Canis lupus familiaris: one gene and its partners. The protein of the gene in region 1 interacts with the protein of each later gene in a pairwise test. Links are inferred from orthologs where the notes say so. Each region holds a gene or a part of one and is shown in the gene's direction. Other genes may lie near its edges.

The links.
Region 2: the proteins of SDCBP2 (region 1) and PTMS interact in a two-hybrid assay, tested with the Homo sapiens proteins (2 studies listed by BioGRID and IntAct). The two-hybrid records come from large-scale screens. The link is inferred for Canis lupus familiaris from reciprocal best matches to the Homo sapiens genes SDCBP2 and PTMS.
Region 3: the proteins of SDCBP2 (region 1) and SREK1IP1 interact in binary tests that used the Homo sapiens proteins (3 or more experiments, as listed by UniProt). The two-hybrid records come from large-scale screens. The link is inferred for Canis lupus familiaris from reciprocal best matches to the Homo sapiens genes SDCBP2 and SREK1IP1.

Annotation. Positions count from the first base shown.
Region 1 is NC_049245.1:20,194,306-20,197,827, forward strand, and holds part of SDCBP2 (syntenin-2), read left to right. Parts: intron 1-2,162; coding exon 2,163-2,321; intron 2,322-2,885; coding exon 2,886-3,061; intron 3,062-3,138; coding exon 3,139-3,310; intron 3,311-3,522.
Region 2 is NC_049248.1:7,821,919-7,825,998, forward strand, and holds the start of PTMS (parathymosin), read left to right. Parts: upstream 1-1,274; 5' UTR 1,275-1,366; coding exon 1,367-1,411; intron 1,412-4,080.
Region 3 is NC_049223.1:49,880,613-49,884,937, reverse strand, and holds the start of SREK1IP1 (protein SREK1IP1), read left to right. Parts: upstream 1-1,519; coding exon 1,520-1,600; exon of another isoform or gene 1,601-1,709; intron 1,710-1,921; coding exon 1,922-2,144; intron 2,145-4,325. Other genes in the region: spliceosome-associated protein CWC27 homolog, read right to left, coding at 1,442-1,483. UniProt on the Homo sapiens protein: Possible splicing regulator involved in the control of cellular survival.

The DNA of each region.
Region 1 (3,522 bases):
GGTTATGCAGGAAGTGGCTGCAGAACCACAGGATAAGGAAAACGGGCATTTTACGTTGGTACAGTGAGCGTCTGTAGTCCTGTGTCACTTTGTCACCTGTATAGATAGACTCATGTAAGTACCAGTGCAACCAAGGCACGAACTGTTTCGTCCCCACAAAGGTCTCCCCCAGGCCGGCCCTTCGTGGTCATGCCCACTCTCTCCCCCTGACCATCCCTAACCCCCTGGCCACCACTAGTCTGTTCTCTGCCTCCATGATTTTGTTTCAGAATGTTATATAAATGGAATCCTACTGCGTGTAGCCTTTTCAGATTGGCTTTTTCCACTCAGCATAATGCCCTTGAAACCTTTCCAGGTTATTCACTGTATTAATAGCTCATCTCATTTTATTTGCTTATTTGTTTGTTTTTATTTCATTTTATTTTAATTCCAGTATAGTTAACTTTCAGTGTTATATTAGTTTTAGGTGTATAATACAGTGATTTAACAATTCCATACATCACCTGCATCCTTAATCCCCATCAATGCCCCCCCCCACCCCCCGCTCCCTTAGTTCATCCCCTTGCATTGCTAAGTAGCAGTCCGTGGTATGGACATCCCAAAGACTTTTGAATCCATTGAGAGTCATTTTAGTTTTTTCCAGTTTGGGGCTGTTACAAAGTAAGTTACTATGGATATTTTTGTATAGTTCTTTTGTACAGACATAAGTTTTCATTTCTCTGGGATAAATGTCCAAGAGTACAGTTGCTAGGTTGTATGATAAATGCATGTTTGAATCTTGAAAAGAAACTGCCAAACTATTTTAAGAGTGGCTCTGCTGCTTTATTTTCTTGCCAGCGACACTCTTCCAGTTTCTTCCCATCTTTGCCAGCTTCTCACTAACGTTCACTGTTATGATAAGTGTGTCATGATGTCTCATCAGGGTCTTAATTTGCATTTCCCTCACGGCTAGTGATGTTCAATGTCCTTCCATGTGCTGTTTACCAGCTATGATTTTTTTCAGTAAAATGCTCTTCGTATGTTTTGTTCATTTTCTCAATGGATAGTTTGTTTTTCTTTTCTTTCTTTTTAAAAAATATTTTATTTATTTATTCATGAGAGACACAGACACAGGCAGAGGGAGCAGGGAGCCTGATGTGGGACTTGATACCAGGACCCTGGGATCACGCCCTGACCCAAAGCAGACGCTCAACCACTGAGCCACCCAGGTGTCCCTCCTTTGTCTTTTCATATAAAGTTTAGATTAACCTTGCCTACATCTACAAGACATCTTGTAAAGATTTGGATAGAAATGGCATTGAATCTTTATGTCAATTTGGGGCAATTGATGGCTTTATTATGTTCTTCTAATTCATGAATAGAAAATTCCTTTCCATTTATTTAAATATTTTTTGATATCTTTAATCAGCCACTTTTTTGTTTTTGTTTTCAGTATGCAAGTCCTACATATGTTTTGTACACCTACTCCTATGTTTTATTTTTGAGTAATTATAGTTGGTAGTGTACTTTTAATTTCAGTTTCCATGTGTATGCTGTTAGTGTATAAAAAGTACAGTTGATTTTTGTGTGTTGATCTTGTATCCTGTGACCTTGCTGAAGTCACTTAGTTTTAAGAGTTTATTTGTAGATTCCTGGGAATATCCTAGTAAATCATCCTATCATCTGCAAATAGGGACCATTTTATTTCTTTTACAGTCTGTATGCCTTTTATTTCCTTTTCTTACTTTATTGCTCTGGGTAGTTATTCCAGTACCACATTTAAGAGTAGTGGTGAGAGTGACATCCTGACTTGTTCTGGGCTTTACGGGGAAAGCACTCGTTTTTATACTTTTTGCTTACATTTTTTTTCAAGACAAAACAAATCAAGTCCTTTTTCCCCCTAATTGCTTGCTATTTGCTGTGAAATTTTATTTTTAATTGGATTTCGAAGGGGTCTTCTCCTGACACCAAAATGAGGGTTTCTTTTCTGTATACCCATTCTCTTTCCCCTCATTTTCCTGGCTGTTTTTCAGGGGGTATAGGCTTTGATGCCTCCTAGTGGCTTCACGGAGCCATGCACCCTAACAGGCCCTGAGAGAGGAGTGTGATCTGGGGATGGGAGAGGGCCCAGGGACCACTGCATCCTTCTTTCCCCATCCTTATGAGACCCCTGGTGTCTGCAGATGGTGGGCTCTGGCCTGTCACTGGGCCAGCTGGTGGCACCGCTGTCTGGAAACAGCCTTGGCACACGGCGAGCAGAGATCAAGCCTGGGGTGCGCGAGATCTACCTGTGCAAAGATGAGCATGGCAAGACGGGGCTACGGCTGAGGGCCATTGACCAGGTAGGGCTGAGGACTGGGCAGGAGAGGAGGGGGCATCTCCCACACGTATTGCCCACCAGCCTGGGAGGGGGGCTGCGGGCCCTGTCCACAGTAAGGAAGGTGCGGAGCAAGCAGGGGAGCCAAGGCTTACCCAGCCTCAAGCGGAGGCTCTTCTTCTCAACCTCCCTCCCCTAAGGCCCCAGGGTCAGTGCTGGGTTCTAGAATGGACCTTCCACTTGTGCCTCCTGGGCTCCTACCATTCGGGGTCTCTCTTCCTCCCTCTCCTCCATCAGAGGGATCTGGCTTCCAGGCAGCTCAGCTGTCTGCAGAAGGTGGAAGCCGGCGGGACCAGTGCCGTCGTAAGAAGCCATGCAGTCCAGGGGCTGGGGCTGCAGCCTCCAGCCAGGGTTGAGATCTTACCCAGCTGCTCCCTGGCTATGTGGCCTGGAGTATTTTGTCCCCAGGAAAATGGAGTGACCGCTGTCCTGCCAGCTCCTAGACGATCAGGAGGCAAACAGCAGCCGGAGGGACCTGGGCTCCGAGTGATGTGATGGGGAGCTGACCACAGGGCCCTGCCTCCTCCAGGGGCTCTTTGTGCAGCTGGTGAAGGCCAACAGCCCCGCGTCTCTTGTGGGGCTGCGCTTTGGGGATCAGATCCTGCAGATTGACGGCCGAGACTGTGCCGGGTGGAGCACGGACCGAGCGCACCGGGTGCTGAAGAGGGCATCGGCAGAGAAGATCGCCATGGTCGTTCGGGACAGGTGAGTGGCCAGGCCCCCGGTGCCTCCCTGTCTGGCCCCAGGCACGTCTAGGCCCGGCTCACGGTCTCTCCCGCCAGGCCGTTCCAGCGCACTGTCACCATGCACAAGGACAGCACGGGCCACGTCGGCTTTGTCATCAAGAAAGGCGCGGTGGTCTCTGTGGTCAGAGGGAGTTCCGCGGCCCGCAACGGGCTCCTCACCAAGCAGTCCGTGTGCGAGGTGAACGGACAGAATGTGGTCGGGCTGAAGGTAGGTGCGCTCGGCCGCGGAGCTCAGGCGCTGAGAGGCGGGCAGGCCGCCGTGCCCCTGAGGCTCGGATCCCCGCGCTCTGGTTGCTGTGGGCTAAGCCGAGGGAGGTGGAGCTCTGAGCTCAGCGCCCAGCACCCGAGCGCGGGGCAGTGCTCAGGGAGCAGGAGGCCGAGGAGAGCGGGGCAGGCGGTGCGTCCAGGCAGGGGGTGCGT
Region 2 (4,080 bases), on another chromosome or scaffold:
AAAGAGAAAAGCAAAGAGAGGGAAAATGTAGAAGATCAGTCAGGAACCTGAAGAGGAGTTGGGGGAAACCAGTGAAAGGTACAGGGCCAGGTGACAGACTCAGAGGACAGAGGAAGTTGGTATGGGAGAAGGGAGAACAAGGTCAGAGATGGAAGGGAGAAGAGACAACAGATGAACAAGAGATGTAAGGGACAAATGGTTGTGACAGAGGGGTCTGGGTACAGATGAATGAGCAGGTATGAGGAGAAAAAGAAAGACCAGGCAAAGATGAGTGAGATGAGATGGGCGAATAAGAGCGGTCCAGGATGGAGGAAGAAGGAAAGAGCCCGAAGGGCCTCTGACTTCTCCAGATCTCTCCGAAAGATCCAGGAAGGGAGGAACCCAGCAGGGTTCACCAAAGTCAGCCTCGGGCAGGACCGAGGGTGGGCTGCCCGCTTGGCCCTCCCATCCCCTCTCAGGGCCACCGAGAGAAAGGAGATGCAAGACGGGAGGGGAAAGCCAGCGTGATGTGGAAGAAGCTCCGCCACCCTCTTCCTCTTCTTTAAGCTTTTGGTTTCTCAGATACCTGCCCGGTCTTTCCATCTGCTTCTCCCACCCCATCCCTTGGCGAAATCTCAGGGTTTCTTGGGGGTGTGTGGGGGGGGTAGGGTCAGTAGGATTCTGGCCATCCCTCCAGTCCGCCCCCAAAAGACAGACTCCACTTTGGCAGGCGGTAGGTCGGGATTCGGAGAGGTCCCTCCCCGCAGGAACCCCACCCCTTCCCACCTCCTCGCCCCACTCCTTTCTCCGCGACCGTCAGTCTCTCCATCTCCCCCTCCTGGTCCTGTCCTCCCTCCCGCCTCTCGCGCGCTCCCTCCCCTCGCTTTCATCCTCCTATCCCCACCTCGCCAACCTCCGCTTTCATCCCCCTCCCCTCTCCTCTCCTCCCCGCTCCCGCCAGCCCCACCCCTGGGAAGCCCCTCCCGTCGGGCAGCGCCGCCTTTATAAGCGGGTTCCCTGCCCGGGGGCGGCAGCGGCTGGTCGGCGGCAGCTCTGCTGTGCGGGGGCGGCGAGCCGAGGACCGAGCGACCGCGGCCGGAGCGCGCCGGCCACCGCCCGCACCGCCCTTCCGCCCGCCCTCCGGACGGCCGCAGCCCTGCGGGTCTCCGCTCCAGACCCACCCCCGCCCCACCCCGCGCGCCTCTGCCGCCTCTTCCAGAGACCCAGCCTGCTGAGCGGCCGCCGCTGCCGCTGCCGCCGCCGCCGCCGCCACCGCGCCAGGTTCCGGCCGCGGCCCCCCTCCGCCGTCCAGGGCCCCTCCGTCCCGGCCCCGGGACCCCGGCTCCCCGCCAGCCCCGGCCCCGGCCCCGGCCCCGGCCCCGGCACCATGTCGGAGAAGAGCGTGGAGGCAGCGGCCGAGTTGAGCGCCAAGGTACGGGCGGGGACGGCGGCGGCCGGGACCCGGCGCGACCCCCGGGCTCCGCGCGGCCCCGGGCCCCACGCCGCCCCCGACGGCCCCACGCTGCCCCGGCGCCGGGTCCCGGCGGACCCTGCTCCGCCCTCCCCCCTCTCCCCTGCCCGGCGCTGCCTACCCCGCTCCGCGCGGCTCCCGCCAGCGCCCTCTAGCTTCCCGAGCGCCGCGCGCCGCGGCCCCGGCCTCGCCGCCCGGCCCGCGCCCGGCCCCCGCCGCCGTCCCCACCCCTCTCGGGCTCCGGCTCGGGCTCCGGCTGCGGCTCCGGCTCCGGCCCCGGCCCCGGCTCGCGCGCCTCTACCCCGTCCGCTTCCCGTCGGAGCGCGCCGCAGCTCACTTTGCCGCGCCCCTCCCCCGCCCGCCCTGTCCGCGCCCCGTGTCCCCGTCTCCCTTTCCATTCTGACCTCACCTTTCCTCTGCTAAGCGGTTTGAGATTCTCCAGAGTAAACAGGACTCTCCCGGGAGGCTGCTGCTCCCGGGCCCCTCCCCTCGAGGCCCGGCCGCCTCTCGCCTCTCGCCTCTCTCCTCGGACGGCCACTGCCTCTTTTCTCCTCTCCTTTCCTTCCGTTAGAACCATTTCTTCCCCCACTGGCCTTCAGCTCTTTTTTCTCTCCATAGCCCCCTACAGCCTCTCCCCTTCCTCCCACCCCCAACCACACACACTTAAAAGAGTCTTGGATTCCTAAAAATCGGAAGGGGGGGTGGAGCGGGAATAGCCTTCGAGAAAGCCGAAGCTCGCGTTGCATGGCACTGCATCGAGCCGTCCTTGCTCTCATCAGCTCCCTTCCCTGGCTCCATCCCTTTGCCCTTGCTTCTCTTCCAGCCTTCCTCTAATTTCCCTAGGGAACCTGCTGAGTGTCGCTTTGGGAAATTAATTCGGCCAGCGTTTGGGGGCTGGGAGCCCGACTTTGGGGGGGGGGTCGGTTGTTGAGGAGGTCACAGAGGTCTCCTAGAGGCCCCCCGAAATGTGAGTGGGGGTAACTAGTGGGATTAAAGGCAGTGGCAGAGGGGCTACGTGTGAGAGCTGACAAGGTGTGCGGTGTGGCCCTCCGATGGGCTGTGCAATGGCATGTGACTTCACTGAGTAGGTGTCTTTGTATGTCTGAAATCCAGCGAGTGTGTGGGACTGCCCGTGTCAGTTACATGTGTGCATGTGGAGACGTAGATGTTTCTGGAGCCATGTTGCTGCTTTGTGAGTACCGAGTGGCTCCACTGTGCTCTTGTGCTGTCTCAAGAGTGTGTGTCAGAATGCCCAAACACCCAGGCCATGTGTCTCGGGATCTCATGGGCGCTCCTCTGTAGCTGTGTGTGTGAATCGGTGTCAGCCTGTGGCAGTGTGTGTGCCTGTGTTGAGTAAATGAGGCCAGAGAGCTGCTTAGCACAAGACCTAGGTCACATACCCTCCTGGAAAAGGGATCATGGAAGGACAGTGACCAGAAGGACAGGACAGGACAGGGGAGGCGAGGGCCCGGCCCCTTGGACTTTGGTCTCTGGTAGCCTCCCTTCCCCCCATTCCCATAATTTCCCCTCCCTCCCTCCCTCTCTCTAGCAGCCCAGATGGGAAACTCAGGCCAGGGCAGCACAGACCTGGTGCTGGGGCCCCCAGAGAGAAGCTGACTAGCCCCCCTGGTTCTCCAGGCCCAGAATGCAGGGGAAAGCCCACCGGGTAGCAGAAATGCCATATCAACCATGTGGCAAAGAAATGAGGACAGGGAAGGGGCATGAGGAAACCTAGCTGTAGTGAGAGGGTCCTGTGTTCTGTGTTCCTCTTAAAGGAAAGAGGGAATCAAGTGTTCCTCCAGGTCAACCATTCTATAACCAACCCCTTGCCCAGAAAGGACACACCCTCCAGGGTGATCTATTCGCACCGAAAACTTCATCCACATGGTATCAGATACACAGAGTTGTACGCCAACACCAGATCAGATCACACAGGGACATCCACAGTTGATCTGGTGCCTGCCATGGGCTTTTGGGGTGGGGTGGGTGGGAAGAGGACTGGAATCTAAACTGGAAGGGCTGGTGTGATGTCCAGAGAGGAGGGACCCATGAGCATCTCCATCTGCCATGTCAGAATAGGACATCACAGGTGTGTCTGCTGGGCTCCTGGGGTGGAGAGGTGCAGTGGAGGGAAGGTCCTCCACACAGGTATCTGCTCCATCTGCATTCTCATCCCACCCCAGATACAGACCTTGTTTTCTCTATCTACAATGTCCAATACCCTCTCCCTTCCGTGTTTCCTTTATCCTCCTTTACCGATACCGCCCCTGGAGAGGGTTACTTCTACCCTTGTACCACACCAGTGTGCGCATGGCAGGGTCAGGGGAGAGGATGTAGGGAGGAAGAAACTACTGAACTGGTTTGGAGTAGATGTGCATCATGTTGGCGTTTTTGGCCAAGTAGGAGCCTGAGGAGTAGGGGGATCCACGGGCGGAGAAACAAAGGCATTTGAGGCTGAGGGGGAAGCTGGGAGGGATGCCCAGGAGAGTGAGTACTCAGGAAAAAGCCCCAGAGGTAGACAAAAGGCAGAGCAGGGCAGGCAGCGGGAGGGGACAGGCCAGGAAGGCGGGAGGGGACAGGCCAGGAAGGCGGAGGGACCTCAAGAGGGGGTGGGGCATCGGGGCGGCAGA
Region 3 (4,325 bases), on another chromosome or scaffold:
TGACAGTCATCTCGTGTTTTAAGGCCAGCTCTAAAAAAATCCCTCATCCATGAAACTTTCCCGCCTCCCGCAGTTGCTCCCTCTTTAGTGCTCCCATACCACTAGCCTCCTCTCACCACAAGCGCCTACCAGATGCATCACAAAGCTTTTTCTTTACATGCCTGCCTCTCAAACAAAACCCTGAGCTCCTCCAGGGCGACCACTACCACCTTCATCCTTCACTGCAGCCCTAGAACCTAGTACAGGGCCCAAGGCTACCACCAGGCGTTCAATAAAAGGTTGTAGAAGGAATAGAGAAAGAGTAGTTCCCAAGTACACCAAAAATAAATAAATAGATAGCTAAACTAATATAAAAAATAAACATAGTAAATAAATATAAAAAATAAGTAAAAATCTAAAAGCCAAAAATGAAAATAGAAAATAAAAAATAAAAATAAATAAAAATAAAAATTTAAAAATAAAAAATAAAAATAGAAAAATAAAAATTAAAAATAAGTAAAAAAAATTAAAATTAAAAAATAAAAAACGAATAAAAATTAAAAATAAATAAAAATCAAAAAATAAAAAACCAAAAATTATAAATAAAAATAGAAAAATACAGAAAATAAATAAAAATTAAAAAACAAAAAAATAGAAAATAAATAAAAAAATCAAAAGTTAAAAATCAAAAATAAAAATAGAATAAAAATTAAAAATAAGTAAAAATAAAAATAAAAATTAGAAAATAAAATGAATGAATAAAAATTAAAATAAAAAATTAATAAAAATAAAAAATTAATAAAAAATTTAAAATTATAAAAATAGAAAATAAGTATAGGAAATAAAAATTAAAAACTAAAAATAAAAATAAAAAACGCAAAAATAAAAAATAAAATTAAAATTAAAAATCGATAAAAATTAAAAATTAGTAAAACCTAAATCAATAAAAATTAAAAATAAATAAATCAAAATAAAAAATTAAAAATAAATGTTAAAAATAAATAAAATAAATAAATGTTAAAAATAAAAATAAAAATATAAAAATAAAACATATAGATATAAATAAACATAAATATAAATATAGAAATAAATAAATAGAAACAAATATAAAAATATAAAAATATAAACAAAGTATAAATTAATAAAAATATAAGTAAAATACAAATAAAACAAATAAAAATATAAACAAGTAAATATAAATATAAATATAAACAAACAAGCCGGTTTTCAGAGTACTTTGTTTCCCCCTGGGCCCTAGAGGACCCCCCTGCCTGAGCCAGGCTGAAGCAAGAAGTGGGGCCGCGGGCCGGGAGGTGCGGGAACGTGGCCTCGAGGACTGGCGCGTACCCGCGGGGCGGAGCGCGCAGACGGTGTGGGAGGCCGCGCCCGGGGACGCGGAGGACGGGACGCCCGGCGGCCGAGCGGTCCCGGAGGAGCCCGCGGCCCCAGGCGAGGCCCTCACCTTCCCGTTGGTGGGAGGCTCCTGGATGTAGATGTTGCTCATGCCGCCCGGTCCGCGGGGCTCCGCTCCGGGTTGCGAATGAGGCCGGAGGGCCGACCCCTCCCGCCGCCCCTACCAGCGCAGCTCCCTCTCTCGGGGGGTCGCGGAGCGCTCCAGGGCGTCAGTGCCCCCAAGACGGCCACACCAGCCACTACCTTTACCCCCCAAACTAGTCCCTCACGGGCGCCGCCATGTCGCTTCTGGACCTGAGCACCGCTAATCCCGAGGAGGGGGGATTCCAATAGCCTCGGGGGGGGGAGAGAAAAGACCGCTAAGAACCGACACATTAATTGAATCTGTGGTACTCCTTTTGAAAAAAAGCAATCTCTAAGCCTTGGTGTTTAACCTCAGTAAACGGGCTCGGGTCTTATTCACTCCTCCCCTCCGCTCCCCCCCCGGGAGCGGGCGGCAATGGTTCGGACCGTGTGTGCTCTGCAATAGGCCTCCCCCCGCGGAAACGGCTTCGACGGGACTTGGGTTCCGCTGTCGCCAGCGGCCTTCCCGGACTGTCACGGCGGTCCCGCGGCGCCGGCGGGAGGAAGAGGCCGCCCTCGCCGTTTGCGGGCCTCGCTGCAGGCGGGCGGCGGGTCCTCTCGGAAGCCCAGGGCTCCTGCGACGCCTCCCCCCGCCTCCTTGCCGTCTTCCAGCGCTATGGCCGTCCCAGGTGAAGCCCGGCGCCGGGGCCCCGAGGTCGCGGCGAGGAAGGCAGCGGGGCCAGGGGAGGTTGGGGTGCGCTCGGGTCGCGGGGGAGCGCCGGGCGGGGCGGGGCGGGGCGGGGGGGGGCGTAGCCTGAACAGGTTCGTCTGGTCTGCAGGAAAAAGTTTCTCCTCCAAAAACAATCAGCGAAGGGAAGGAGGGGCGGCGGAAACGGCGTCCCTGCAGCGCCGCGGAGCTCCAGCTGCGCTGGATGGAGGGCGGGGGGGGGGGGGGGGGGGGGCTGTAACCGTAGGCCGGGCGGCGGGCGGGGGTGCAGGGGTCCGGGGCAGCTGGCTTACCTCGGCCGTGGCTTGAAGACCGGATCCCGGCGGCGCCCCTCGACGGAGCCGAGCAGCCGGAGGCATTGGTGCAGCGGCAGCCGCAGGCCCGGCCCCCGGGGCTCCCTGGTGCCCCGAGCTCCCGGGTGGCCCTGCACCCGCCGCTTTTCGTGCATCTGCAAAAGCAGCCTCGCTCCTTGACGCCTGTGGGTCCCTTCCAAGCTCTCGGTTCTGTGGGTGGGGGCGGGGGGCGGGGGGGTTCACCGTAAGGGAGCCCTACCTACCAAGTAAGCGCCCCGGAGCTCTCCCGTCTGCAAGGACGAGCGTCGGGAGGGCGTCTCCTTAAACCAGGTTTGCTCCCTGTCTTCCGAGGAACCCTGGTTGCAGGAGTTAGTTGCAGAATTATATCCCAACCCGCACCCCGCACAGCTTGGAGACTTCACGATGCACTTTAGTGTAGGAGCGACTCAGGTGCTGCGGTTCAGAAGCCCGCCCTCCCTTTGTTTCAACCTGCCCTTCGCGGTATTATTGAGCCGAGTTTGCACTGTGGCAGCCTCTTCCTGTCTCTTTTTGAAAAGACTGCATGTGTCCATGAGAGACACAGGGAGATGCAGGTTCCCTCCGGGGAGCCCCATGCGGGACTCGAACCCACGACCCCCCCGCCCCCACCCCGGGATCACGACCTGAGCCCAAGGCAGCGGCTCACGCGCAGAGCCCCCTCCCCCCCCCCCCCCGCAGGTGTGCCAGTTGCAGCCTTTTCTGACCTATATTTTGCAGATCACTGTTATAGGACTATTGGGCTTTTCAAACCACGACAATTTTGGGAGGAGGTTGGGGGGGAGGGGCTTGTGAGAGAGGAGAGATACCCTCCCGCACACACAGAGCAATCTTTATTTAAAGTGCCTACTAAAAAATAAAAATAAATAAAAAATAAAGTGCCTACTGACTGCATGCTGGGCAATGTGTGAGGCAGGGGGGAGGCAATGGGGGAACAGGACAGTTGCTCTTCACACGGAGCTGGGAATTTAGGAGTGGAGAGGAAGGACCAGGAAGTCAGGTGTATGTGTGGCAGGGGAACATTGGAAGCCTTCAAGAGCGCATAGGAAGGACACCTCACGGAAAACGGGAGAGGCCGGATGGGCTTCTTGGAAGACGTGGCATTTAGGATGAGTCCTGAAGAATTCCAGGAGGGTTGGAGTGGTAGGAGAGGATATTGCAGCCAGGTAATGGATGGGACTGACAGGTAAAGCAAGACTCACCTGATAGGCTGGATGGGTCAAGCAAGAGGCAACGTGTAAGAAGGGGAAATAAAGGATGCTCCCTATAGGCGGAACTCAGAATAGTCATGGGAGAGAGGTGGGACACTAAGTAGAGAGTTAATAACAGTAGCCAATATTTCCTAATGTATCAGGTGTGTAAATAGCGTGTACTATGTATCAGATGTGTGGCATACTGTGTCAAGCATTGGGTTTTATCTCCTTTTACCATCCAGGTCCACACTGGAAGATGAGCATTAGTATTTCAGTTTTAGGGGGCACCTGGGTGGCTTAGCGGTTGAGCATCTGTCTTAGGCCCAGGGCGTGGTCCTGGGATCCGGGATTGAGTCCCACATTGGCACCCCTGCATGGAGCCTGCTTCTCCCTCTGCCTATGTCTCTGCCTCTCTCTCTCTCTCTCTGTCTCTCATAAATAAATAGAATTTAAAAAAATAGTATTTCAATTTTATATGAGGATACTGAGGGACAAACAAGTCACTTGCTAATTAAGGGATAGCTAGTGATGTGACAGGTCAGTGGGGCTCTTCTAGCCCTAATGGGCTTATTCATTTTGCCGTGTTACAGTTTAATTTACAAGGTAGCTTCCACCCCTTTA